7 linked regions of the Sus scrofa genome follow. The protein of the gene in region 7 interacts with the protein of the main gene of each other region in a pairwise test. Links are inferred from orthologs where the notes say so. Each region holds a gene or a part of one and is shown on either strand. Other genes may lie near its edges.

Region 1 (4,181 bases), on a different chromosome or scaffold from region 7:
CTGTGGCAGACGCCCTGAAGATGAATAAGAATGTGGTTCTTGCCCGGGCTTGTGGGGCCCTGCCCCCTGAGCGACTGAGCCGGGGTTCCGGGGGTACCTCTCAGCCACATCATGTGGACGTGTGGCCCCTCAACCTGCTGCGGCCCCGGGGTGGACCTGGCTACGTGGACGTCTGCGGCCTCTTCCTGCTGCAGATGGCCACCATCTTGGGCATGGTGCCTGCTTGGCACACTGCCCGCCTCCGGATCTTCTTGTGCCTGGGGCCTCGGGAGGCCCCAGGGGCAGCCGAGGGGCGGCTCCGGGCACTGCTGAGCCAGCTGAGGATCCGGGCAGAGGTGCAGGAGGTTGTGTGGGGTGAGGGGGCTGGGTCCGAGGAGCCTGAGGAGGAGGAGGAGGGGGACTTTGTGAATGGCAGGCGCGGAGACGCAGAGGCAGAGGCCCTGGCACGCAGCGCCAACGCCCTGGTTCGGGCCCAGCAGGGGCGCGGCAGAGGAGGAGGGCCTGGTGGGCCTGAGGGTGGGGATGGCGAGGAAGGGCCCACCACCGCCCTCACGTTCTTGTACCTGCCTCGGCCGCCTGCTGATCCCTCTCGCTACCCTCGCTACCTGGCGCTGCTGGAAATTCTGAGCCATGACCTGGGCCCCACGCTGCTCATTCATGGCATCACCCCTGTCACTTGCACTGATCTCTGATGCCGGTTCCTAGTAGAGAGTGTCCAGGTCGAGTGGCCCACTTTGCTTGGCGGGTTGAGGAGGGGAGGTGCTGCCTCTTGCCCTCCTTGTACTTGGGACTCGGACCCTGGTGGAGGTATTAGGGGAACCTGGTCTTTGGGAGAGGGTCCTCGCTGTGCCCAGGGCAGCTGAGCCGGCGGCCACCACTGGCGAGAAGTCAGCAGCCCTCCCCCACGCTGGCCTCCCTCCCTTCACTGGTGCCTTGACGGGGCTGGGTCTCCGCTTGTGACTCTAGGCTACCTCAGTCTCCCCGCCCCTTGCCCAGTAGACTCCTCACCCTTGAGGTTGTGATGTTTTTGTTCCGTTTTATTTTTCTAACTGCTGAATGTGAATAAAAGACCAAAACACTAGGTGCTGGCCGAGCGTTTCTGGAGGGAGCCGGTAGGGGGGACAGAATGCGGGACGAATCTGTATGCGGGGAGGGGCACTGGAGCATCCCAGCGCAAGGGGGCCACGTGCGGACTTGGGGCACAAGAGCCCCGTGTTAAAGGAGGCTGCCTGAGCCTCCCACCCCCACCCCCCGGGCCCACGCTCTGGAGGAAAGCCGCCCCGGCTCGCAGGAGGGGGCCGACTAGGGGAGGGACGGCAGTTTAGGGCCTAGGGGGCCACGTGACCCTCCCCCAGGAATGCGATGACGTCATCGGGGGCGTGGCCGTCCCCAAAATTGGGGAGGAAGGGGAAAAAAAAAAGCCAGAAAAAGTTTCTGTCCTGGAGTCCCAAGCGAGGTGTCGGGGGGAAGAAGGGGTCAAAGTCAGAGCCCTGGGCTCCGTGGGGCCCTGACCGCTGTCTGGAGTCCCCCATTCCAGACCATGTCCGGGCCCACCTGGCTCCCCCCGAAGCAGCCGGAGCCCGCCAGAGCCCCTCAGGGGAGAGCGCTCCCCCGAGGCGCCTCCGGGCCGCCGCCAGCCCACGGAGCAGGTAAGGCAGCCCCAGTGCGGTGCGGAGGCCACCGGGCCACCAACACTCAACTCTGCCCTGCTGCTCTTGCCTCCCGCTGAGCCTGCCCCTGTCGCCCCTTCCCCAAGCCCGGCTGGAACCCGCCGCGCCCCCGCCCTCGCCCTCTCCCAGCCCTCACTGCCTCCTGCCCCATTCTCGGACCCCAGATGCGGGGGGAGAGGGGTGAAGAGGGACCCAAGACCGGTGGCCTCCACAAGTGTCACCCTCCTCTCCTTCCCCATCCCCACCTTGGCTCTCTCTTCCCTCACCCCAGCACTCCAGTCCCACCCCAGGGTCAATTTTTGCCCCCTCCCATCTGAGCAGTGTTACCAGGCCCCTGGGGGACCGGAGGATCCGGGCCTGGCCTGGGTGGGGTGCCATGGAGCACCCCAACGCTCACAGGTGAGCACCGCGATTAGGGGGTGTGGGGGGGACTTAGGGCAGGAGAAGAGGCCATATGAGTTGCATTCTCCCTGCTTTTGCTCTATCTCCAGGGGCTCCCCCCGGACAGGGGGGCCTTGCGCCCAGGAAGTCTGGATGCTGAGATAGATTCCCTGACCAGCATGTTGGCTGAGTTGGACGGGGGTCGGGGTCACGCCCCACGGCGGCCTGACCGGCAGGTGACTCCCCGCTCCTGTCCCTCCCTGTCCTTGTCCCCCACCCCTCCCCCGCAACCTGGTTCCTGCTCTGTATTCTCACTCCTCTTCTCCCTCCACATGGGGGATGCACCCACCAGCGAGGAGGAAGCTGGGCCACCAAAACGTACTAGGTTGCCAGCCACTCAAGGACGGGCCCTTGTCAAAACCAGTGCTTACCTGGGTGCCACAGACACAGGGTTCAGGGGTTCCACAGATGTGTGTTCTGGATTGGGCCCAGCTCATGCCTTCTGGTCTGTGCTTCTCTCCAGGCTTATGAGCCCCATCAGCTCCCTGCCTACCGCTCAGGCCCTGGCTCCCTGAAGCCGAATGGAGGGAGTGTTCCTCCCACACCACTCCCAGCGGCCTCCTATGGCGGCCCCACGCCGGCCTCCTATGCTACGGCCAGCACCCCCGCCGGCCCTGCCTTCCCTGTGCAAGTGAAGGTGGCACAACCAGTGAGAGGCTGTGGCCCCCCCAGGCGGGGGGCCCCTCAGGCCTCGGGGCCCCTCCCCGGCCCCCACTTTCCTCTCCCAGGCCGAGGTGAAGTCTGGGGGGCTGGCTACAGGAGCCACCGTGAGCCAGGGCCAGGGGGTAAAGAGGAGGCTGCCGGAGTCTCCGGCCCTCCGGGAGGAAGAGGAGGCGGGTACGGGCCCCAGGTAAGCCCTGGGCCCTGGGATTTGGGGTCCTCAAAGACAGTTGGATGCTGACTGGGTGGGGTGGGGGTGGGGGTTGATGTTCCAGTTTTCAAGCTCTGGATTCCCTGGGGGCGGGGGGCAGGTCAGGAAATAAAGGAGGGAGGGGACTAGATCTGCACACTGGCTCCCAGAGGCACACCCCTGGCCCCTGGGCTGGGGTGTTCTCCTGTGAGCTTTTGGGTGGAATTGCCTGATCACTCTCGGTGACAGTATTGGGAGGGAGAGGTAGGATTGAACCCCTGATTCTCACCTCCCAGGTCCCCCTGAGCCAGCCTCCCGAGGAGGAACTTGAGAGGCTGACCAAGAAGCTGGTGCAGGACATGAACCACCCGCCCAGTGGGGAGTACTTCGGTGAGCTGCCCCCCGCCACACACCCCGGGCAGGGGGTGGGGGGAGGTCAGGTAGACAGTGGGTCTGGCTTCCCAGTCTATGGTTGACCCTGACCCATCCCGTCCCCAGGCCGGTGTGGTGGCTGCGGAGAAGATGTGGTTGGGGATGGGGCCGGGGTTGTGGCCCTGGACCGTGTCTTTCACGTTGGCTGCTTTGTCTGTTCTACGTGCCGGGCCCATCTCCGGGGCCAGCATTTCTATGCCGTGGAGAGGAGAGCGTATTGTGAGAGCTGCTATGTGGTGAGTGGTGGGGGCTGGCGGGGGGTGGTGGCAGATGGAGTCAGCAGCAGGAAGCAGGGGGCTTCCATCCAGAGTGGGAACTAGGTGTCCAAGCCCCAAAGAATAAGGCTCGAAGCAGGAGAACTAAAACTAATAAAGAAAAAGGCATGGATGAAATAAGTAGCTGTATACTGGTTGCTGGAGAGAAAGGACAACATTCCCCTGTAAGAGTGAGGCATTTATTTTCGGTTTAGGGGAATGTGCTGAATCCCCACAATGCCCTGGTGAGGCAGCTGTTACTCCTGAAGGAAACTGAAGGTCTGAGAGCTTAAATATCTTGTCTGGGGAAGCTGCAGTGCTAGGATTTGCACGCATACCTGTTCAAGGCCACCTTTAACTGAATCACATGCAGGGGGCTACATAAATAGGTGGGGGAGCTGGCAGGATGCCTGTAAGGGCTGCCATGGGTCACCCCAGCCCTGACCTTCCTGCTCTCCTTCCTGACAGGCCACCCTGGAGAAGTGCTCCACCTGTTCCCAGCCCATCCTGGACCGGATTCTGCGGGCCATGGGG
Region 2 (4,163 bases), on a different chromosome or scaffold from region 7:
CCTCTGAGGTCCAGCGGGTGCCTACGCTTAGGCGCGCAGCTCCGCAGGGCACCAGCAGGGGGCGGCGTTGCCCCGCAGCTGGCTGCTCCGCGGGTGACTGTTCTCCCCCTCCCCGACCCGCGCCTCCCCGCCTCCTGCTGGGAGCGGGGCCCTAGTGACGAGGCCCGGGCTCCCCAGCCCGGAGAGGGAGGGCTATGCTTCCTTGCAGGCCGGGCGGCTGGGGTCGAGCGGGGCCATGGGCGGGAGTATCCAGCCCGCCTCTGTCCCCGCCGTGGCCTCAAGACGAAGGAAAGTGGCTCTCAGTTTGGAAAAGGGTAGCGAGCGGCCAGAATTGACGGCAGGAAGAAAGGGGGCGCTTTCTAGCAAACGCGGGCCTCGAGCGCTAGTGCCCGCGGAGGTAAGGCCACACTCCTTTCAAGCCGCGGAGGCGCCGGGAGTTGTGGGTGTGGAGGAGGGACGGTCGCAGACTTTAAACTCGTGCTTTCGCGGGTCGTGGAAAACTCGCTCACTTCACCCTGACATGTGCATTCACTTGAACAACGCAAACCTTAGTTGCCGGCGAGGAACGCGCTTCACCTCCTCAGCTTCTGGATGGAAGAACGCTCAGCCGAGCTTCCGGCCCCGCGACCTAGCGGCCGCCCACCCCTTGCGCCCCGCGTTTCCAGGCCAGCGTGCCCGCCCGGCCGTCCGCTCGGGGACGCGCGTTGGCCCGAGCCGCGCTCCCGGCCGCCGCGAGCCTCGGGTGCGCTGGGCTTGGACGCACGCTCGGCTCCGCCCCCGCGCTCCTCTGGCTCACCCCAGCCCGGCGCGCCGCCTGAGGTTTGAAGAAACGAAACTCGGGGAGCCTGCCCTGCCCGTTGCGCGCAGACACTGATTGGCACGGGGAAGTGGACCCCTTAGTTCACACTGAGGCCGAGTTTATTAATGCCATAACCGCTCTAGTGCTACCCCACACACTGTTTAAAAGGGAGGTCAAGAAGACCCTCTGGAGCCCCCGTCACTAAGCTTTGATGACGAGCCGCATCCGGCGAGAATTTTGAGAAGTTTCAGCAGTTACGCGATTTTCGCCTTGATCCGGTTTTGAGGGCCAGTGAGGACTCTTGAAGTATCTGAAGTGTCTCCTCCTTGGGGAAAAGGAAGAGAGGCGTGGGTGGGTGGGCGTCCCTACATCAAATCTACCTACAGGAACTAAAGTGAACTCACGCACCGCCTCCAGCTTCGCGCCCTGGGGACCGGTCCTCAAGGAGCGCGGCTCTGCTGGGCTCCCGCCGCGGGCGCTGGGCGGGCGGGGGCGGCTCCCTATGCAGATGAGGAGGGTGTGGCGAGCATGCGGCGCCGGGCCCCGGAAGCGCCAAGCGGCCACGGTATAAAAAAAGTACTGGAGACCTTTCGCCCGCACAACTGCTAAAGCTCCAGAGACAGGAGCGTGTGCGGCGGCGGCAGCGACAGCAGGAGCCGCCACCTCTGGGACCACCGCGGCTGAGGCGCGGGCGGGGTCGAGGGGCGGGAGTGGCCGGCGCAGGCGGCAGGGGTCTGGAAAGGACTAAGTCGCTCGCCACTGCCGGGAGCGTCTTCGCGGCTCCTGGAAGTGTTGCCGCCTCGCAGTTCCTCCATCGCCGCGCTCCTAGAAGGGGCGGCCGCCTCCAGGTGACACAGACGGGACTCCCGCTTGCGCTTTCCAGATGCATCAGAGATACTTTTGGTGCGGGGCTGTTCTGCGGGGCGCGGCGCGCGCGGCTGGGGGCTGGGGGGCCTGGGGCGGGCGCGTCTCCGGGAGCTCCCGAGGCGGGAGGCGAAACGAGGAGGGGGCCGCTCCTTCCTCCGGGGGCCCGGCTCAGCCCCGCCGCCGCGCGTCCTCACCGCGCTCCCCCCACCCCCGTTTTCTTTTAGGACTGACCAGGGCCAAGTGGCATTCGGCGGGCATTTCATGGCGGAAGGCGAAGGGTACTTCGCCATGGCCGAGGACGAGCTGGCTGGCGGTCCCTACATCCCCCTTGGCGGCGACTTCAGCGGCGGCGACTTCGGCGGCGGTGGCGGCGGCTTCGGCGGCGGGCACTGCTTGGACTATTGCGAAAGCCCCACGGCGCACTGCAACGTGCTGAACTGGGAGCAAGTGCAGCGGCTGGACGGCATCCTGAGCGAGACCATCCCGATCCACGGGCGCGGCAACTTCCCCACGCTCGAGTTGCAGCCCAGCCTGATCGTGAAGGTGGTGCGGCGGCGTCTGACCGAGAAGCGCATTGGCGTCCGCGACGTGCGCCTCAACGGCTCGGCCGCCAGCCACGTCCTGCACCAGGACAGCGGCTTGGGCTACAAGGACCTGGACCTAATCTTCTGCGCCGACCTGCGTGGGGAAGAGGAGTTTCAGACTGTGAAGGACGTCGTGCTGGACTGCCTGTTGGACTTCTTACCCGAAGGGGTGAACAAGGAGAAGATCACACCACTCACGCTCAAGGTAAAGCTACCCGAGAGAGGCCGGGGGCCCGCGGCGGACCAGGCGCGGGCGTGAGGCGCTAGGCGTGGGGGGCGCACGTTTGCTGCCCCGTCTCGTGCAGGAGCTTTGGCTTATTTTGCATTTGAGTTTTTTTTAATGGGTAAACGAAGATGCGTGAGCTGCGTTGTGTGTTCTAGTTTACTTGCTGCTTCAGTGCCCCAACTCTTCTGCTTCCTCCTCAGCTCTGCCTTCTCTTCCTTCTCCTTATATTTTAACTCTTGGCTTTCCTTGCTTGAGTCCTGTCTAGAGTAGATTCAGATCCGCGGGAGAGTGAAATGATGTAAATCTCTCTCTCCTTTTTTTTTTTTTTTTTCCTTCTTTTGAGTCATTTGATGATTTAGTCTTTGGGAAAAGAGCAGCCTGCAGCAGAGTCGAGTCAATGGATTTATAATTGTTTTGGAAAATGTGAATAGATTTCCTAGCTGCCTTCAGCTGACTGCTTGTACTGAGGATGTATGTGGCGCTTCCCTGGGTTGGTTCCTCTGTTCGGGGTATAAATGGGTCCTCGCCTCCCCACTTTGGTTCATAGCGCGGTTTTATACGATTACCTAAAATAATCTGAGGTACCAGCCTCCCCGAATGTCTTAATTTAGTTCACATTTGATTTTAACTGCAGAACTCCTGGAGGGACATACAAAATACTGATCCTATCTGTTGCCTCAGGGGCAGATGAACTAGGTGACTAGGGACAAGGGTGAGAGGCAGACCAACTTTTCACTGTATATTCTTCTGTACATTGAATATTGTGATATTGTGTGAATATTGTACCTATAAGATCCCTTTCAAAAAATAACATTTCAAAAGTCAGACATGACAACAGAGCCTCTTAGTACTGTGCTACGTCTGCCAAAAGCCTCAAACTATTATTTCTAGTCTCTTTCCCAGACGGCAAAACCACTCGTTAAATGCAGGTTTTTTGGTTTTTTTTTTTGTTTTTTTTTTTCTGTTTTCAGAAGACTGTTTAATGTGCCAGCCTGCAGGTAGTGTTTTGCTGAAACTTGACAAAATAAAGAGGGGAGGAGCAAAATGAGTCTCAGCTGTGACGAGGATGTATTTATTCATTTATGATTTTTCCCCCCTAGGTTTGCTCATCTTCTCGTTTTGTCTTTTAAATTGTAGGAAGCTTATGTGCAGAAAATGGTTAAAGTGTGCAATGACTCTGACCGATGGAGTCTTATATCTCTGTCAAACAACAGTGGCAAAAATGTGGAACTGAAATTTGTGGATTCCCTCCGGAGGCAGTTTGAATTTAGTGTAGATTCCTTTCAAATCAAATTAGACTCTCTTCTCCTCTTTTATGAATGTTCAGAGAACCCGATGACTGAAACCTTTCACCCCACGATCATCGGGGAGAGCGTCTACGGGGATTTCCACGAAGCCTTCGATCACCTTTGTAATAAGATCATTGCCACCAGGAACCCAGAGGAAATCAGAGGGGGAGGCCTGCTTAAGTACTGCAACCTCTTAGTCCGGGGCTTTAGGCCCGCCTCTGATGAGATCAAGACGCTTCAGAGGTATATGTGTTCTAGGTTTTTCATCGACTTCTCAGATATCGGAGAGCAGCAGAGAAAACTGGAGTCCTATTTGCAGAACCACTTCGTGGGCCTGGAAGACCGCAAGTATGACTATCTCATGACCCTTCATGGAGTGGTGAATGAGAGTACAGTGT
Region 3 (4,054 bases), on a different chromosome or scaffold from region 7:
TAACAATCTCAGTTAATCCTTAGAGCAAATCTGATCTCCACTTAGAAAGAAAGAAATGGGCAGAGAGAGTAAACACAGTTAAGAGGCTGGGTTCTCAAAATCAGTCCAGTCTGGGCTTTATACTTATGAACAAGTGGCTCTGTTATTTAGCTACCCAGATATCAGCTGCTTACCTCATAGGGTTTTGATGAAGATTAAGTGAACTATGCCTGTGAAGTGTGAAGCTCAGCCAGACACTAAGTGCTCAAAGATGTTGGTTCTGTGGGTTTTGTTTGCTGTTTTATCATTGTGAAAGGGTCAGGCTACGTACCCAGGATTTCAAATCCAAGCCCATACTCTCCTAAGCTTTACTGTATGGCTGGCTCCAAACGCCGCCAGCCCATAGGCTAGACTCTGTCTCTCCTGCAAGGATTCTACCCTTTCCTGGCTCCCCGAAAGCCTGACCTGGGTAGCTTCAAATTCAGGGACAGGGGCTCAGCGTGTTCCCCTATCTACCTCTGCTGTGGGCCTCCCAGCTGAGTAGGTGTAAGAATTCTTCACGAGATCAATCATCATATAAACTTAACTCTAGGCTGCGGTGTGTCACAAGGCAAACTATGGGCCCGAAGCACTACCTTTCTAAGCGTGTTTGGTTCTGTGCTTGCCCCACAGTGAAAGCTCGATTCTCTCTTTGGCCCATTTCTCCGACGGTAAAGCTGAGGTTCAGAGAGGCCACTGGCTGAGGACCACTCCTGGAGACCACGTTCTAGCGTACAGGTTGGAGCCAGACATATGAGTTCTGGTTTAGCTCCCGACTCGCTGCGTGAGCTTGGGTGGGCCTCCTTCGTCTCATTTCCTCTAACCTTACCATGGGGACAGAAATCAGAATTACGTATTTCTAAAGCACTGAATCCTGACCCGAAGAATCGCCGCGACCAACGGCTGGGCCGCGAGCTCGGCCCGCCAGCCTACAAACCCCAGCCAGGCTCGGGGGGCGGGGCGTAGTGACGGACAGGCGGCTTTGCGAATTGGCTCCCGCTAAGGCGTGCGCGTCCGCGCGTGCGCAGAGGCCGGCGGGCGGGTGGGCTGGCAGCGGTGGACGCGTCGGAGCCGCGGCCGGTCAGGTAGGGGGCGGGATGGAGGGTGGGGGACGCGGGATCGTGGCCCGAGTCGCTGGCAGCGGCTGAGCGGCTGGGCGGGAGCTGTGCGGGCGGCCGGTTCGAGGCATAACGGCAGGGTCTGGGGACCGGATCAGAGAGGCAGGACCGGGGTGGGGGTGGGGCCGTGAGGGGCAGGCTCAGTAGGGCTTCGAGGGGGCTGAGGAGCTCGGAAGAGGTGCCGCCGGGGCGGAGAGCTAGCGGCTCTGAGAAGATTCACGGTGCAGCATCTTGGGAGGTATGAGGTAATGTGGGGCCCTGAGAGACGGGTGCAGCGGCATCTGGAAGATGGGAGGGGATCTCAAGGCCCTGGAGGGATCCGAGGTGCAGAATCTCGGAAATATGGAGGGATTGGGGAGCCCTGATGAGACTTGAGGTGCAGAATCTCAGATTTGAGAGAATCCAGGGGCATTAGGCTTTGGGGGGAAAGATCTGAGATCAGAGGAAGCAGGGTCCAGGACTAACCTAATTGCTTGGGAGGAAGCGTTTTCCCGAGTGGAATTTGGTCTGAATTCTTGCGGGAGATCAGTGGGAAGCTGTGTCTCATCTCCTTAGAAAAAGAAGAGGCCTGGCTAAGCTTTGAAGTGACACATGACGGGGGTGGGTAAAGGAAGAAGGAGCATGGATTAAAGGCAGGGGCAGGGTCCTGATGGAATGCAGGGGAGGGGGGCTGAGATTGAGGGAGTGCACAGATCCAATGTGTGGGATGGGGGTGTTAAGGTGTGATGCAGGGCTGAAGGCCACAGAGACTTGGAAACAGGTCACAGAGATTTGGGCACATGAGTGAGGAACTGGGGGGGTGCCATATAGAGCCCAGAAGGCTGGGATTCTGTGTTGAGTTGGTGATGGGGTTAGGAAAAGCTGAAAGGCAGGGTGGAGATGTACCAATCGGACGTCAGAATGAAGAGACTGACTAGAGTTGTGGATTGGTGTCGGGCTGCTAAAGGCATTTTCTTGAAGTCTCTGCATGGGAAGCACAGGGTCTGGGGACCCAAGGACCTAGAAGTAATGTATGACACTGTATATGAGTATATGAAGTTTAGTAGAGTTCAGGCATTTGGCAGTAAAGTCCTAAGTCTGAGATCAGGGCTCCTGAAGGAGCCTGGCTTTCCCTGTGAGGGGCGGACTCTCCCTCACTTACTAACCGCAGATCCCTTATTGTGAGGCTGCCATGGCTCTTCCACTAACTTCACTCTGAACCCTGAACCTGCGGAAAGTGGGAGGCCTGGGAGAAGAGAGTGGTCAATGGGATCATAAAACAGGAGACTATTCAAGGTCTTGTCCAAGCTCCCCTTTGCCTGTCCCTCCAAGCTGTGGTGACAGGTAGTCTGTGAGACCTCCAGGAGATGGCTGGAACATGTTCTCAGGTCTTATTGTCCTTATCAGTGATATAAGTAATCCTACATAAGGTCCATTACAGGGGCTCTGTGAATGAGGTGTTTGGACCAGGAGAGTAACCAAAAAAGGGGAACTCAGATGTATTGAACATTTAGTCCTGTGCCAAGTTCTGAAGAAATGGTTCCTAACTGGCAGTATTTTTGTCCCCCAGAGGGCATTAGTCAGTGTATGGAGGCATTTTTGGTTGGCACACTTGGGGTGTTGGGTACTCCAGTAGGTGGACACCAGGGATGCTGTTGAACATATTAAGGTGTGCTAGACAGCCCCCATAACAAAGAAGTATCCTGCCCAAAATGTCAGTAGTGCCAAAGTTGAGCAGCTGTGCCCTAGAGTCAGATATCCTGGCCTCAGATCTTGGTGCACACATGCTCACTCTCTCTCTCTCTCGCGCTCTCTCTCTCTGTGTCTTGATTTAGTTATTTAACTTCCCTGTGCTTGGCTCTTCATCTGTAATATGAGATTAATAACAGGACCTATAGCATAGATTATTGTGAAGTAAATCAGAGTGCTTAGTGCCTGGTGCATAGTAAGTGCTCAAAATTCAGTAATTTAAAAATTTTGCATCTCCTTTCTTAATCAGTTTTCGTAGCCACCCTACTAAGTAGGCTCCACTATATCCAGTTTTACACTTAAGGAAAGTAAGGCTTAGAAAGTGACTTGTCTAATGCTCCATAGCTAGACATGGCAAAGCTACACTCATATTCAGATCTCTATAACCCTGTATATTGCCTCTTTCCTGCTTTTTCCTTGCTGGGGCCTGCTTAGTCTTAACTATCTCTATCTCAGCCCATTCCCCTCTAATGAAAGGATTCTCCAGTGAGCATCACTGAATATCAAATTGAACTCTAAGGGGAATAAATCTGATTAGGTAGGGAGTAGCCCTGAGCTGTATTCTCGATTTGCTCTTAGACCAGGATCAGTGGGTAGATAGGAGAAGGGTTTGAAGTTAGCAGGCAGGCTGAGGTGCACTAGAGCATGAGGTATGAAGGCCATTGGCTTGAAAGAAACACTTCATAGCAGGGACTGAGGTTGAAGGCATCCATACTCTGGAAAATAACTCCTGTTCTGAATGATCTCTAATGAAACATGGGACAGACTAACAGCATTTGCTCTGTCAACTCCAGGACTAGCTACAGCATTGCTGAGACCAGTTTAGAAACATAGTAGGACTGCATGAGAAGGCCAGAGATTTAGCTGGAATATCCACACACATACCTAAGGAAATGAGCAATAGAAATTCAATCAGTTTGGGAATCACAGACTTGAAGTCCAAAATCCTTCTTCTGCTGCTGAGTTATTAGGTGATCTTGGACAAGTACTTGCCCTTACCAGCCTCGATCTTATTGAAAACTTGAATAGCTACCATTTATTGAGTACTTATTATGTGCATTATCTCAGTTAATCTTGCCAGTGACCCTGACAACAGTCTAGGTGCTATTACACATTTTACACATGAGAAAACAAATAGGTTAAATGATTTACCCAAGGCTCCATAGCACACGGCAAAGCAGGGATGTGAG
Region 4 (3,500 bases), on a different chromosome or scaffold from region 7:
TTAACCACTGCGCCACGACGGGAACTCCTGATGTGACTTTTTTAATTGTTAAATTTTAAAACTTGGGTAGGTAGAGGTCAGCATGCTACTAAAATCCCAAAGTACACGGGAACATCCTCCCACTCCCCAAACAGAATTATCCACCCTACGTGTTACTTATGCCGAGGTTGAGAAACCCTGGCTTATACAATGACGTTGGTTCCCTTTCTTGGATCCATTTCTCATTCCTTCATTAGGCTCTTGCAAGGCTGCAAAGTGTTATTAGAATTGTGGGGTTCCAGATGAGCGTTTGTTGGCAGAGTTTATGTGATAAACTATGACTAGTCACAGCTTATTCTTAGTTCTGTAAGGGCCCTTAAAATCTCTTCCATCTCCCTCAGAAAACATTGGGCAGTTGTCTCCCTAAAGTGTCTTCCTCATCCTTTGGCTTCAGTTTTTCCATCCCGTCATCATATTTGAAAATGGGCACTGAATTAATAAATACTTTATAACGCACTTTTCCAAGGATAACCATTTGCATGACCCCAATCGGTGGTCATTGTTCTGTTGTTTGAACATCTTCTGGGCTTGATTTTCTTTGTTGTTGTTGTTGTTGTTGTTGCTATTTCTTGGGCCGCTCCCGCGGCATATGGAGGTTCCCAGGCTAGGGGTCGAATCGGAGCTGTAGCCACCGGCCTACGCCAGAGCCACAGCAACGCGGGATCCGAGCTGCGTCTGCAACCTACACCACAGCTCACGGCAACGCCGGATCGTTAACCCACTGAGCAAGGGCAGGGACCGAACCTGCAACCTCATGGTTCCTAGTCGGATTCGTTAACCACTGCGCCACGATGGGAACTCCCTGGGCTTGATTTTCTAATCCCTCAGTGGGCAGCACATTTATTTCACCACAAGGTGGTTGATGTCAAAGGGCGGGACTGCAGAAATCATCCTCCATCTCAGCTTGATGATTATCCTCTGAGTATACAGATAGGCATCTGGTGAGTTCAGATTTTTTTGGTCATAAATGTGACCCTCTTAAAGTGTGATTATCCTGGGTTATGAAAGTTGGTCACCTGAGGTTTCTAGGAAGAGGGGGAAGGAAGAACGTCACTTATTAAATGCCTGCTTTGTGCCCTGGGCTTGTTTTATCTCAATCTTCACAAGAGCCCAGGAAGGTAAAGAGTATCACAGTCTTGGCTTTACAGATAAGCTGAAGTTTAATGGGGTTAAGTAATTTGCCAAGGAACACACAGCGGACGTCCTACACGCAGCATATTAAACTGCATAGAAATGCAACAGGTTAAGAGTTAACACAAAAATGAAGTGGCCTAGCACGGTGGGAAAGAAATGCAGTGTGCCTCCTTGTGGGAGAAAGAAAAGAGGAAGCTGGAGGGATGAAATGGAAACGGATTTGGAATGGAGAATGGAAAAGAATATAATATTTGTCTTAATTTTTTACCCTTATTACAAAATACCAGTCAGAAAACATTTTTATAAAATAGGGCAAACATTTTAATGACCACCATCCAGATGGCTGGTTTAATTTTAAACTTGAGGAAAGTTAGAGTCCTGTAGTATTATTTGTTACATGCATTGTACTACATTTCCAAAACGTATGCAAATTTGTACCTAACACAAAGTGACTATAACTATAGCATTGAAACTTAAAACTAAAGAAAGTAAACATTTCAATGATTGTTAGTTCCTAAAGTAACTTTTTAAAATTTGAGTTTATTGGAATATAGTTGATTTACAATGTTGTATTTCAGGTGTATAGTAGAGTGAGTCAGTCATGCGTATAAATATATAAATATACATATATTCTAAGATAATGATTTTTGACAAAGATACGTGCTTATTTCAGATTGGAAATTCATAAAACTTAAGGGAAATCTCTTTTGGTTGCGCCCTCAAACCTAACTTTAGCCACACATCTCTTAAAAGCCACTTGCCCTGGCTTGCCCAAACAGGGTAGTCCCTAAATCAAAGGCCACGTTGGCCATTGTTGGCTCTGAGTGCTTGAATTATTTCTACAAATTTACTCTCAAAGGACAAATATTTGCTACCATCCATGATGGCTGTATTATGGGACTGCAAGAATCTTCTAGAAGGGAAGTTCTGAATGAAAATGGCATCATAGATGTAGTGTTAGCAGTCATCCGAGGTGTCTCGAACATTAGGCTAAATAAAGTGACTTCATACTAAATAGTCTTTTTTTCTTTTTCTTCTTTCTTTCTTTCTTTTTTTTTTTTTTTTTTTTTTGTTGAGGAGCAATCCTGCAGCATATGGAAGTTCCCAGGCTAGGGTTTGAATCAGAGCTGCATCTGCCGCCTTTGCCACAGCCACAGCAGCGCCAGATCCAAGCTGCATCTGGCTTACAGCAATGCCAGATCCTTATCCAACTGAGCAAGGCCAGGGACGGAACCTACATCCTCATGGATACTGTGTTGGGCTGAGCCACAACAGGAACTCCACTACTTTGTAGTCTTGATGGATGTGATTATATCTTTAAGTCAGGAAGGTCATTAACTTGTGTGTGTTATAAAGATCGGATTAAGGATTCTGTTAACTTTGTTGTACACTTCATGGTTTGAAACTAAAATGCTTATTTGTCATGCATTTGCTACTACCCAATACACATGTTATCCTGGTATTACTCATCAGGACAGGATGGCTTTGGTCATCTTAACCCAAAGGTCACCTGGACACTGAGGGACTGTTGGTAAAGTCCAGACTGATCAGAAGCAACTCTTTCTGAGATTTAAAAGAATTGTCAATCTGGATGCATTTTACTTACTTGGCTTCTTGGCTCTGTTTAATTTGGGGTTCGAAGCAGCCTCATTTTACCAAAATGTTTCCTTAACTTAATCTCCCAGGTTTAAATTTTGAGAAGAATAGTTCAGCCTCCCGGTATGGAGCCTCTCAAGTAGAAGATATGGGAAATATAATTTTAGCAATGATTTCAGAGCCTTATAGTAAGTATTGGTGTTGTAACAATGTGGACCCAGAATCTGATCCTATCCACTTTCCCTCAGCTCTACTTCTGAATTTCCCCCCACAGCTTTGTCTCCCTAATAGCTAAAATGATGGCTTGTGTGTTCTCATTTTAGATCACAGGTTTTCAGATCCAGAGAGAGTAAATTACAAATTTGAAAGTGGCACTTGGTAAGTACTTGAATACTATTCCATTTGAGCCTTTTGATATGTTTTTATTCATATCGTGATATTTAACTCCCCTTATATTTGAGTAACTTTATCAAAACGTTTGGCTATCAATGTTCTAATATTAGGTCATTCATCAAAGTAAGCTTGGGTGTTGGGATTAACATTTAATGAAACAGGAATTTGTGTTGTGGCTCAGCGGTAACGAACCCGACTAGTGTCCATGAGGATGTGGGTTCAATCCCTGGCCCCCTCAGTGGGTTAAGGATCTGGCATTGCTATGAGCAGTGGTGTAGGTCGAAGACTTGGCTCAGATCCCTCATCGCTGTGGCTGTGGTGTAGGCCGGCAACTGCAG
Region 5 (4,272 bases), on a different chromosome or scaffold from region 7:
GCAAGTAAAGTACCAATCAGAATTTTTATTCAAAAAGTGCTGGAAAACTTGAATTCTCATGAACTTATAAAAGCAGCTCAAATAGGTTCCCCTTCACTTAATAAGCTTTTCTGCATTTGGATTTCACCTGTCAACATTTTAGGTAATGAATTTAAGTTGTTAACACTATTCAAGCACTCTCAGGTTTGCTTGGGAAGCAACAAATCCAAATGAACAAATAAAGTGCTTTCTATCAATTCACATTGTTAAACCAAAACAAGCTGCGTTAGGATAGCAATTAATCATGATCCCTTTTACACTCGAAGACACTTTTTCCTCTAGAAGTTTTTTTTTTTTAATGCTAAAAATGAATGTTACTCCAATAGCATTTGATACTTTATTGAGTAGATAAGAGTAGTGGCATGAGTACAAAAACAGAGCCTGGCTTTAAAATACCAACCAATCAGCATCCTGGGAAGCCAGAGACAATACCCACACTAGAGTCTTTGATTGGGTACATACTGAAAAAATATATAGACCCAACTAGAATATAATTCTTCCTGTCAACAGTCCCAAGCACATTTTATGTACTCCAGCCTAATACACTTCAGGGAACCAGGAAAGAATTCACTGCTTCTGTCAACCTCTTCAGTAGCCCACAAGACAGTGAAGCAGTAACTTCAATAAATACACAACCATGTGGTGATACCCATCCACCTCTCCAGAAAAAGTAGATATCTAGAGTTTAAAACCATAAATTTTTAGCTAGGGTAAATATGACTGAAGTCATACTTTTGTGACTCCACATCCACTTTACTGGAAGTTAGGGGAGGGGAAAAAAAAAAAAAAAAAAGAATTAAAAAATCCAGAGTTTCCGTTGTGGCACAGTGGAAACAAATCCCACTAGTATCCATGAGGATGTGGGTTTGATCCCTGGCCTTGCTCAGTGAGTCAGGGATCCAGCATTGCTGAGAGCTGTGGTGTGGGTTGCAGATTCTGTTCAGATCTCTAAGTGCAGCGGCTGTGGCGTAGGCCACCAGCTGTAGCTCCAATTCAACTCCCTAGCCTGAGAAGTTTCATATGCTGCATGTTCAGCACTAAAAAGCAAAAAAAAAAAATTAAAAGATTTAAAAAATCTGATTTTCCTAGCCAGGCAAATCAAAGAGCATTCCTGTGAGGAGTTCACCTCTCAAGGAAACATCAATGCAGCAGACAAGGTTTCTGTGTGGCATCCCAGAACTGTAATTCTTACTCTACAACATGTAAGACAATAACATACCAGCTACACACGTGTTACAGAACTTGTGTGCCAACATATATTGAACCACAAATCCACATGGGATCTAAGACCATATTCTCTTTACCTGAAAACTACTTAGAAGCAAATTCTAGTGTAAACTTCCAGAAAAAGTTCTAAGCAATTCTTTACTAAATCTGGTTAATATTTAGTCCACATAGTGAGTAAGAATGAGACTATCATTTCAAATACTACTAATGAAATGCCTATACAATGTTACTAACCTCCTCACCTATAAAGAAACACTATTTCATTAGTAACAAAGCCTACTTTTGTATAGCGATGGGGGGATTTGGAGGCTGGTTGCTTCTTCAGATCTAGGAAAGCATCTCCATTTTCTGATTCACCCACACTTCTATCCATGGCTCCTTGGTCTACAGTTCTTTACACCTGGAAGAAATCAGGACAAAACTGTCACTAAGAATATATTTTCAGAAATCCTTACTGTTTAAGAAACTGAAGCTCTTATCGCTTAAAATGACTACTTTAAAAAAAAAAAAAGCCCTCACCCAAAAATTACAGTATAAACCGCAACCTACTTAGAAATAGAACCACTGGAACTTGGATGTCTCTTCTAATAAAGAGCTCTAAGCAAAGGCGGAACGTGCCCAAATCAGGGTACAACCTTTAAGCAGCTTTAATATAAAAAGAAACCAAGACTAGTCGCTGCAACCCATGAAGGCCGTTCAGGCAGTAGTGGGGAAGTTTGCAGGAGTGGGGGCAGGTAGGAGACGGGTTGGGGCTGGGGATCCGGGAAGTAGGGCTGTGGTAAAGTGCCTGTCACTTGCCAATGGACGGCGCCAGCTGCCCCTTGTTATCAGAGACCAGGGATTGGGGACGGGGCCCGAGCGCTCCTCGCCCGGCCGGCCGCACCTGTGGACATGTCAGGGGTGCCCATGACAAGGAAGAAGCGAGCTCCTTCTCCAGCTCCGAAACTCGGCTTCCAGGACCGAAACCCCAACCCCCGGCCTCTCGCGTAGGCCCCGGCCCAGCGGCCTCTTTCGGAGGAAGGGTGGAGACCATACTCACCGAGGGGAGGCAGGCTGGTGGGAAGGGGAAGCCAAATCCCCCAGCGCCGGCTCTCCGAGCTGGAGCCGGCGCAGGCCCGCACCGTCCACCCCGGCCCGCGCGGCCCGGCGGCTCGGGCCCCGCCAGGCCGCCCGCTGCCTGCCGGCCGCCCAACTGGCCTCGCGCCCCTGCTCGCCCCCCGCGCGCGCCCCGGCGCTTGCGCTCACGCACGCGACCCCGGAGCGCAGCGCGCCCCCTCTCTTACTGCGGACCCAGGCGCGCAGCGCCCCATACACCGCCCGGCCCTTACTCGGTGCCTCGGCCGCCGCTCCCCTCCCCGCCGCCCGCGCCGGTCCGAGGGCTGCTCCGCGCGGCCTTCGCTCTCGCCCCGCCCCCCCCACCAGCTCGGGCTGTCTCCCTTCAGCCGCCGTAACCGCGGCCCAGCCCTCCGCCCCTCCTCCCCGGACCCCTCCCCCTTAATAACTCCCTCCACGCACCCGGGCCCCAGCACCGCCTTCGCCGCCGCGCGCCCGGATGTGAGGTGTCCGCGGCGGTGCCGGGCGGAAAAGAAAAACATTGCGGCGCGCTCCCCGGGCGCTGGCCCCTGCGTGCGCCGGGCGGCGGGGAGGCGGAGGCTGGGAGGCTGCTGGTGTGGGGGCAGCCGAAGCCCTCCCCGATGCGCGCAGGCGATCGACCTGGGCAGCCCCGGGGAGAACGCCGCGTTCCCACGCGCGCTTCGGGGCGGAGCTCAACAGGGCAGGAGGTGCTCGCGAAGTGGGCCGGGGTCCGCAACGTGGGAACGTGTTGGTTGCTTTGTTAGCGAGGTTCACGTTGGCAGAGAACCTCTGGGGCAGCAGGAATCTGAGTTAGGCGAACACGGGGACTTTGGGGCCTTCCGGGGCGTGGGCTCGAACATCGGATTTTTTTTTTTAACTGGTGGTGTAATCTTGGGCAAAGCTCTGACTTCTGAGTTTTACTTTTCTTACTAAAATGGCCTTTCTATACAATTATAAGAGGAATAATCGAAATTATGCGTTGCTGCGTTAATAATCAAACGCCACGATTGCTGTTGATTGAGCTATGGGCGACTGACAAATTCAGTGAAATATTTTTCCCGCGCATAACCTGAATCTCTCCTCAGCCTGCACGGGAAGGGGAAGTGCACATGTGTTTGGGTGAAAAAGAGACAGCGAACGTCAAGCGCTTAGTACGTAGTGCCTAGTGCCCAGACTGGCTGACCTGGGCACAGAACGCAAATGTAATTTATTCTGTGAGCAGTGAAAGTAACTGCCTTGGCGGGGAGGAGCGGTCAGGAAAGGTTTGATGGAGATCACACGTGAGCCTAGTTTGCAGGATTTTCATGAGCCCCTTTCTGCCCAGTGGGACCGTGAAATGATGCATGACTGTGGAGGAAAACAACTTTTCTTGCTGAAGGAGAGCGAAATCCACATTTCTTTGAAGGGGCCTGCTTTCTTTTAGCTTCACTTTACTTGGGCAGTGAATGGTCACTAAGTTCCCGTTTTACGCGTCTTGACAACAGAGAAAAACAATTATGAATCCTTTTTCTTTTTGTCTGTAATACTGAATAAAATGTGCTTCTTAGAAACTATTTTCCTTCTGCCAGCCACTATGGAGAAATCCCACTTATTGACACTTATCCTGGTTCTGCCACTGAGTGTGAGACCTGAGCCAGTCATTTCACCTTTCTGAACCGGTTTACTCATCTATCGAAGAAAGATAGCAGTATCTACTCTTCAGGCTTGTAGTGGGAATTAGAGATAAGATTAAAAACACTGTGTTCTGGTATCTTTTGCTGTGTAAACCATCCCAAAATTCAGTGGCTCAACTCAACACTTATTTTGCATCAAATCTGCATTTTGGGAGTTCCCGTCATGGCGCAGTGGTTAACGAATCTGACTAGGAACCATGAGGTTGCAGCTTCAATCCCTGGACTTGCTCAGTGGGTTAAGGATCTGGCGTTGCTGTGA
Region 6 (2,793 bases), on a different chromosome or scaffold from region 7:
GGTAGTTTGAAATGGGCTGTGATGGGAGTACTTACACCATGGAAATTGGCAAGTACTATAAATCAGCCCCCCACTTTTTGGTAGCAACGATTTTTAAAGCTTTGCCAGCGCTGGAGGTGTGGGAGGGCTTCAAGCATTGTCTCCCCAAGGCACCTGAAAACCCCTTTGACCAACAAGCCTTAGGAGGCTGAACAACGAAAATAAGGGAACACAGCTTAGGAAATAGTGATGCTAAGGGTTGGATCTGCATTGTATCGAAACCTCACTGACTCCACCACTAGACCACGGAATTCTGTGACCAGCAGGGAGGCCGTGTGTGCGCGCGCACACGTGTACATGTGCCTTCTGCATGTTTTCGCGTGAAGGGGCTACGAGTGCGTGCAGTGCGTACACTGCGTGTGCGTCCTTAATCTATATGTGGTGTGACTGTGGGCCGGGGCTGCTGGCCCCAGGTCAGGCCCCCTCCCCTGAGCTCTGCCCCCACCCTAGAACCTCCCCGGTCTGGAGAGTCAGCCCCAAGACCTGGAGCAGCCTTTTCTGAGTGTGTTCAAGGCGGGCCGGCGGAGGGCACCCGTGCGGAACCTGGGCAAAGTCATCCACTACGCCAAGGTCCAGCTGCGCTTCCAGCACAGCCAGGTGGGGGCCAGGCCGAGCTGGGAGGGGCGTTCTTGGGGACCACGCTGCCCCCCCACCCCCAGCCCTCAGACCCTGGCCCTGCTTTCCCGCAGGACATCAGTGACTGCTACCTGGAGCTGTTCCCCTCCCACCTCTATTTCCAGGCCCATGGTTCTGAAGGGCTCACTTTCCAGGTGAGGGGAAATGGGCAGTGGGAGGAGCTGGGCGAGGGGAGCCAGCAGCTGCTGGGGCGGGTGGCCCAGTCCTAGGACTTCCCTCCCGCTGTGCTCGGCAGGGGCTGTTACCACTGATGGAGCTGAGTGTCTGCCCACTGGAGGGGTCCCGAGAACATGCCTTCCAGATCACAGGTGTGCGGGGGGCCCGGTGTGCTGCCCGTGCCTACCCAGCTGCCAGAAGGACGAGGGCCCTAAGACTGCTGCTGAGCAGGCCCCAGGACCTTGGCGGAGCTCTGAGCACATTGAGGGGCCCTGGCTTTTCCTCCGATGGGCACACGTGCACTTGCCAGGCTGGGGTGGAGGGCAGCGGGTTGGGACCTCCAGAGCTGTGCGTGTGGTGGTCAGTGGCTCCTCCCAACCCTTGAGAGTCCTTTCCTGTGGGCTGCAGGCCCATCCCTGTCTGCCCCTCCCCAACAGGCCCGCTGCCCACCCCTCTTCTCGTGTTCTGCCCCAGCCAGACCGAGCTGGGCCGCTGGCTCTACCACCTGGAGAAGCAGATAGCCCTCGTGGGGGGGCTGCCACGCCGCCACCAAGTGCCCCCGCAGGTCAGTGCTGGAAATCCTGCAACCCTTTCCCATCCCCAGCCTCCTCCACCTGCCCCTGACCCCCTTCTACCAGGGCCCCCCCGAGGACGAGCTCCCCTGGGTGCTGCAGCGCAGGCTGACCCAGCTGCGGACGGCATCTGGGTGCCAAGTGGTGGGCAGTGCCATCTGTGCCTCGAGGGTCAAGCTGCAGCATCTGCCCTCACAGGTGCGTGGGGGGGAGGGCACAGAGGAGGGAGGAGGTGGGGGCAGGTCCAGGCCCTGGACGTATGCCTGGGAGACCCTGTTCTGCCCTTTGACCCCCCTCACAGGAGCAGTGGGACCGGCTCCTGGTCCTGTACCCGACTTCCCTGGCCATTTTCTCTGAGGAAGCAGATGGGCTTTGCTTTAAGGTGGGTCCCTCAGCGCAGTGGATCCGCCCCAGGGAGGAGCCCTGTGCGTGGGGGGTGGGAGGGGGCAGCAGCGCAGGAGGAACCTGTATTTCGGGGCCTGTTGGGACAGACAGTACAGGCCCCACCCACCCAGCTCACTGCCCTGGTCAGTCTGGTCTCAACCTGAAGTGGGCAAGGAGGGGCCCCCGCCTTGGCCCCCCATAGCATCCTAGAGGGTCCTCGGCCACCAGCAGGCCCATCCCCTGGGGCGGGTGGCATGAGGGCTCCTGTGGCCCTGAGTAGACATCTTCCGGGTGCCTGAGGGCATGCGTGGGCACTCTTAGAGCCTGAATCGTCTGCCACATGCAGCACGATACCTTCCACTCTGGGTTTGATCACGGCCTTCAGTCACTGAGAAACACACACATGGGGGGCTTCCTCGTGATCCCTTCCCACTCACCCCCATCTTAGCAGGTGACCCAGGAGACCAGTCCCCATAAGCATCCGTCTGTGTTGGCCGTTGGCTGACAAAGTCTTCCCCAGAGACGGGGGAGAAGGGATGCCCAGGACAGATGGGGAGTGTCTGCCTTGGCCCTGCCTCGCGCACTACCTGGCTGCCCATGCAGCTCTGCGGGGCCCAGGCAGAGGCCTGGCTGGCTTCTCCTAAGGCCCCATCCTCCCTTGACGCCCCGCAGGGGGAGCTTCCACTCAGCGCCATCCACATCAACCTGGAGGAGAGGGAGAAACAGATCCGCTCGTTCCTGATCGAAGGTGGGCGGAGGCCAGGCCTGGGAGGAAGGGTGTGAGCCTGCTGGGTGGCCACCTCTGCACCGGGGCTTTGAGGGGGGCACCCTGCCTACCAGGCCCCCTCACGGCCTCCGTGTGCCAGGCCGTCTCATCAATACCATCCGTGTGGTGTGTGCCAGCTACGAGGACTATGGCCGTTGGCTGCTCTGCCTGCAGACTGTCTGCCACAAGGATGGGGCCTCCCTGCTGCCCGGCCCTGAGAGCTTCCCTGGGCTTCGGGCG
Region 7 (3,500 bases):
CAGACCGTCGTCCTGAAACTGGTGGAAGTCAGCGCCCCTCGGGTGCATCTGTGCCTCTAGAAAAGGCAGGTGCCGTGGGGCCACCTTCATTTCCACCAGGATGCGCGCCCGGGGCCTGGGCTGCACCTGCCCTGGCCCCCAGCTGCCCACCCGCCAAGAGACACGCGTGGGAAAAGCATATGCACCGTCTCCTGCCCAACACCAGCTGTAACTCTAATGACAAGGTTATAACAGAAACCTAAAGGAAGAGGATAACATGTAAATACTGTGTTATTAAGCCTACAGTACAGTAATCTGGATACAAATGATAAAGGAGGGCCGATTTCCTTTCCCCACGCGGCCTCTACTTGCCTACATTAGAGCGGCCTTCGATGCAAATCTTAACCTCCTGAGAAATGAGAGAAGGCTTAGGAAGAGTCAAAGGTGGCTCGTCTTCCGACTTCTCCAGTTTGCGGGACTCCGGCGCCGACCACCTCCTCTTCCTCGTGGCCGCGGGCTTGCTGGGTTCGATTTTGGTGAGCAAGGGGGCGGCAGGCAATCCTATCTTTTCTGGAAACTTCAGTTCGCCGTTCTCGGAGAGCATCTGGGCGCCTCCCTGATTGATCCCGTTCTCCTGCTCGGCATACCTGTGTCTACTGCCCGCGAGGCCGTCGGTCTTTGAGTGTTTCAGCAGGACGCTGGCAGGATCCACGGGCTGGCCCTTTTTAACAGAGCCGTTCTTCAGGTTTTTGAGGGTGAGTGAGATACAGACATCCCCAACGGAGAGTTTGGAACACGGCAAATCAAAGAGCTGGCTGGTTCTCTCTGGGCAACAGGATGACCAGCCCTGTCCAAACACAAAAAAAGGATACTCTACCAAAACTTCCACGCTGACCTGTGGAAACAGGGAGAGACAGGGAGCGGGGTGGGGAAAGGGGGGAAAAACATGAAGACATTTCATTCCTGTTTGATTTGATATACACCTGTTCACAAACATACACACGCATAGAAGGCGAGTGGAAAAAAAATAAGACAGTTGCACAAACCTCTTCCACCAACACGTGCCAACGGGGCACTTCATTTTCTGCCAGATCTGGACTTACCCAATACAGATGTTGGGGAGAAGCCAGTAACAGTTGTTCAGTATTCAAAATACTGTTTTACTGTGTATTAGCGCTATAGCTGGTCTCTGTCAAAACAAAGTTGACACCACCCCCCCAGGAAGACGGAAGAGCTACTTAGGGTTCAGTGCTGGGCTTAGCCCTGCACATGAGGTCCCTTTGAAGGTCTGGTCTCATGCTCTACGAGCCCACGGCAGAGATGCTATTCTCACGGATGACAGGGCTAAATAAGGATCAGAGTTAGACTGTGTTAAGCTCCGTGAGCTACATACTTAGGTGTTTAGCACTTGTGGCCCCGGCCCCTAAGAGTACCTAGCACATGGTACATGGTTGAAACATAATATTTATTGGGTAAATAAATATGTACTTTAGGAATTTAGGGGGAGAAGAATCCGTGACGGCCGGAGAAAGCAAGGAGGGCTCCTAGGACCCAAAGGATGGGCAGGATTTGGGGGGAAGACACGGCTGGGTAGATGGTGAAATGAATACAGACAGCTCCAGCGCTCAGCCCAGCTACACACTCAAGCCCCAGGTACTCAAATCCATCTCTTTTCTGTTTGAAAAACAACTATCGGAAGCCAGGGAAGCCGGGTATCCTTTTAATAGCTGCTATTTTCTCTGTGCTACCATGTGCCGCGCGCTGTGATAAGGAACGCGCTGCAAACAGCGGTCCTGGTCTCAAAGGAGTTCCTAATCAAATGGGCAAAAAAGGCACAGGAACAATCACCTCCGGAGGATGTGGCAAGTGTGGTCACGGGGCGGGGTGGTCACGCATGGCGCTGGATTAAGTTGTTGGAGGGCAGAGGAAAGGCATGGAAGAGGCGGGTAAGGAAGGCATCCTTGATGAGGGCACACTGTGCTGAGTTTTAAAAAATAGTGGGACTGGAAGAGAGGAATGGGTACAAGGAAAAGGTGTCCCTGGAAGCAGGGCTGTGTGAACAAAGGCAGGGAGGTGTGGGTGCGCGGGGATTTGCGAACGGTGTGATGGAAGTCTTACCACTGTCATTCCATCAGGGTGAAATGCATTTCAAGTTTGAACAGTTTCATTTTCATGGAAATTTATTATGTTCCACTTTATGCTATGTATTAAAAAAGAGAGCAAACCATAAAGTAATTTTAAACAGTCACGTTTTCAATGGTTTTTTTTTTTTAGGTGCAGCAGGCTAGGTAATTTGTACCAACCTTCCTGCTGAGGACAACTAAACACTCTGAACAAAAAACCAAGCAAACTCTGGACCAAATGTAAAAGAACTATTTTTTTTTTTTTTTCCTGATGGCAGTAGCCAGAAAATAAGACAGTAAAAAAAATCACTGGCTTTTGATCAGGAAATGATGGCCAGAGATTTGAATGGTGGTGGTGCTATTTCCCCCCAAGGGTATTAGTAGATTCCAAAGTGGGGAAGTTAAGAAACTGAGTGGGCTTTAAGTAATCTCAAGAGCATGGGGGTTACGTTTCAGGGGGCAGGGAATGGAGTTCAGCAAGACATGAGGGTGTTCTCCAGTGAACTGGGCACTTCGGGGCTGGGACCCCCCAAAAGCACTGAAATCTACAAGTAAGGTGAAACAGAAGCAGACAGGCCCTCTCAATGTCTGAAGCTCAGATTTTAATCCTCTTTGTCCCTAAAATTGGATTAAAGTCTTGAATTGTTTCCACAGTTCAAGAAATTTTCCAAATAAAAGATGTTCCATTTTTAATTGGGAGAAGGTTCCCGAGCAGCTGAGCTGAATAAAAAACCAGTAGAAAGAACAGGTAATATAAACAGACCCCCAGTGGCTTCTGATACGGAGTCATCAGATACAGACTTTAAAATGACTATGTTTATAATATTTCAGATTAAAGACAAATGAGGATTTTGATAGAGAACTAGAATCTATTTTTAAAAGATCCATGGAAATTCCAGATGAAAAAAAAATACTAAAATCAAGAATGCAATGGCTTTTCCCACAGAATAAGCACAGTTAAAGAGAGCATTAGTGGGAGTTCCTATTGTAGCACAGCAGAAACGAACACGATTAGGAACCAAGAGGTTGCAGGTTTGATCTCTGGCCTTGCTCAGTGGGTTAAAGATCCGGTGTTGCCATGAGCTGTGATATAAGTCGCAGATGCGGCTCGGATCCTGCGTCGCTGTGGCATAGGCCAGCAGCTACACCTCTGATTGGACCCCTAGCATGGGAACCTCCACATGCTGCGGGTGTGGCTCTAAAAAAATGAGAGAGAGATTGAATTTTTTTTTTCTTTTTGTCTTTTGTATATCTATCTATCTATAGAGAGAGTCTTTTTAGGGCTGCACATGTGGCATATGCAGGTTCCCAGGCTTGGAGTCCATTCGGAGTTGCAGCTGCCGGCCTACACCACAGCCACAGCCACGTGGGATCCAAGCGGCATCTGTGACCTACACC

The links.
Region 1: the proteins of ATXN1 (region 7) and TRIP6 interact in binary tests that used the Homo sapiens proteins (3 or more experiments, as listed by UniProt). The link is inferred for Sus scrofa from reciprocal best matches to the Homo sapiens genes ATXN1 and TRIP6.
Region 2: the proteins of ATXN1 (region 7) and FAM46A interact in binary tests that used the Homo sapiens proteins (3 or more experiments, as listed by UniProt). The link is inferred for Sus scrofa from reciprocal best matches to the Homo sapiens genes ATXN1 and TENT5A.
Region 3: the proteins of ATXN1 (region 7) and TRIM32 interact in binary tests that used the Homo sapiens proteins (3 or more experiments, as listed by UniProt). The link is inferred for Sus scrofa from reciprocal best matches to the Homo sapiens genes ATXN1 and TRIM32.
Region 4: the proteins of ATXN1 (region 7) and ESRP1 interact in binary tests that used the Homo sapiens proteins (3 or more experiments, as listed by UniProt). The link is inferred for Sus scrofa from reciprocal best matches to the Homo sapiens genes ATXN1 and ESRP1.
Region 5: the proteins of ATXN1 (region 7) and EIF4ENIF1 interact in binary tests that used the Homo sapiens proteins (3 or more experiments, as listed by UniProt). The link is inferred for Sus scrofa from reciprocal best matches to the Homo sapiens genes ATXN1 and EIF4ENIF1.
Region 6: the proteins of ATXN1 (region 7) and PLEKHN1 interact in binary tests that used the Homo sapiens proteins (3 or more experiments, as listed by UniProt). The link is inferred for Sus scrofa from reciprocal best matches to the Homo sapiens genes ATXN1 and PLEKHN1.

The regions. Positions count from the first base shown.
Region 1 is NC_010445.4:8,711,840-8,716,020, forward strand, and holds the start of TRIP6 (thyroid receptor-interacting protein 6), read left to right. Parts: upstream 1-1,381; 5' UTR 1,382-1,540; coding exon 1,541-1,649; intron 1,650-1,941; coding exon 1,942-2,069; intron 2,070-2,161; coding exon 2,162-2,287; intron 2,288-2,574; coding exon 2,575-2,961; intron 2,962-3,257; coding exon 3,258-3,351; intron 3,352-3,459; coding exon 3,460-3,629; intron 3,630-4,115; coding exon 4,116-4,181. Other genes in the region: SLC12A9 (solute carrier family 12 member 9), read left to right, coding at 1-692. UniProt on the Homo sapiens protein: Relays signals from the cell surface to the nucleus to weaken adherens junction and promote actin cytoskeleton reorganization and cell invasiveness. Involved in lysophosphatidic acid-induced cell adhesion and migration.
Region 2 is NC_010443.5:84,543,806-84,547,968, forward strand, and holds the start of FAM46A (protein FAM46A), read left to right. Parts: upstream 1-1,363; 5' UTR 1,364-1,682; coding exon 1,683-1,702; intron 1,703-1,890; coding exon 1,891-2,455; intron 2,456-3,613; coding exon 3,614-4,163.
Region 3 is NC_010443.5:257,053,223-257,057,276, forward strand, and holds the start of TRIM32 (E3 ubiquitin-protein ligase TRIM32), read left to right. Parts: upstream 1-1,254; 5' UTR 1,255-1,376; coding exon 1,377-1,381; intron 1,382-4,054. UniProt on the Homo sapiens protein: E3 ubiquitin ligase that plays a role in various biological processes including neural stem cell differentiation, innate immunity, inflammatory resonse and autophagy.
Region 4 is NC_010446.5:42,040,184-42,043,683, reverse strand, and holds part of ESRP1 (epithelial splicing regulatory protein 1), read left to right. Parts: intron 1-2,858; coding exon 2,859-2,957; intron 2,958-3,092; coding exon 3,093-3,147; intron 3,148-3,500. UniProt on the Homo sapiens protein: mRNA splicing factor that regulates the formation of epithelial cell-specific isoforms. Specifically regulates the expression of FGFR2-IIIb, an epithelial cell-specific isoform of FGFR2.
Region 5 is NC_010456.5:48,201,902-48,206,173, forward strand, and holds the start of EIF4ENIF1 (eukaryotic translation initiation factor 4E transporter), read right to left. Parts: upstream 2,801-4,272; 5' UTR 2,782-2,800; intron 2,699-2,781; exon of another isoform or gene 2,595-2,698; intron 2,479-2,594; exon of another isoform or gene 2,306-2,478; intron 1,672-2,305; exon of another isoform or gene 1,667-1,671; 5' UTR 1,640-1,666; coding exon 1,547-1,639; intron 1-1,546. UniProt on the Homo sapiens protein: EIF4E-binding protein that regulates translation and stability of mRNAs in processing bodies (P-bodies). Plays a key role in P-bodies to coordinate the storage of translationally inactive mRNAs in the cytoplasm and prevent their degradation.
Region 6 is NC_010448.4:63,331,054-63,333,846, forward strand, and holds part of PLEKHN1 (pleckstrin homology domain-containing family N member 1), read left to right. Parts: intron 1-489; coding exon 490-636; intron 637-728; coding exon 729-809; intron 810-910; coding exon 911-983; intron 984-1,268; coding exon 1,269-1,396; intron 1,397-1,469; coding exon 1,470-1,601; intron 1,602-1,704; coding exon 1,705-1,785; intron 1,786-2,459; coding exon 2,460-2,535; intron 2,536-2,653; coding exon 2,654-2,793. UniProt on the Homo sapiens protein: Controls the stability of the leptin mRNA harboring an AU-rich element (ARE) in its 3' UTR, in cooperation with the RNA stabilizer ELAVL1.
Region 7 is NC_010449.5:12,304,351-12,307,850, forward strand, and holds part of ATXN1 (ataxin-1), read right to left. Parts: intron 875-3,500; coding exon 344-874; 3' UTR 1-343. UniProt on the Homo sapiens protein: Chromatin-binding factor that repress Notch signaling in the absence of Notch intracellular domain by acting as a CBF1 corepressor. Binds to the HEY promoter and might assist, along with NCOR2, RBPJ-mediated repression. Binds RNA in vitro.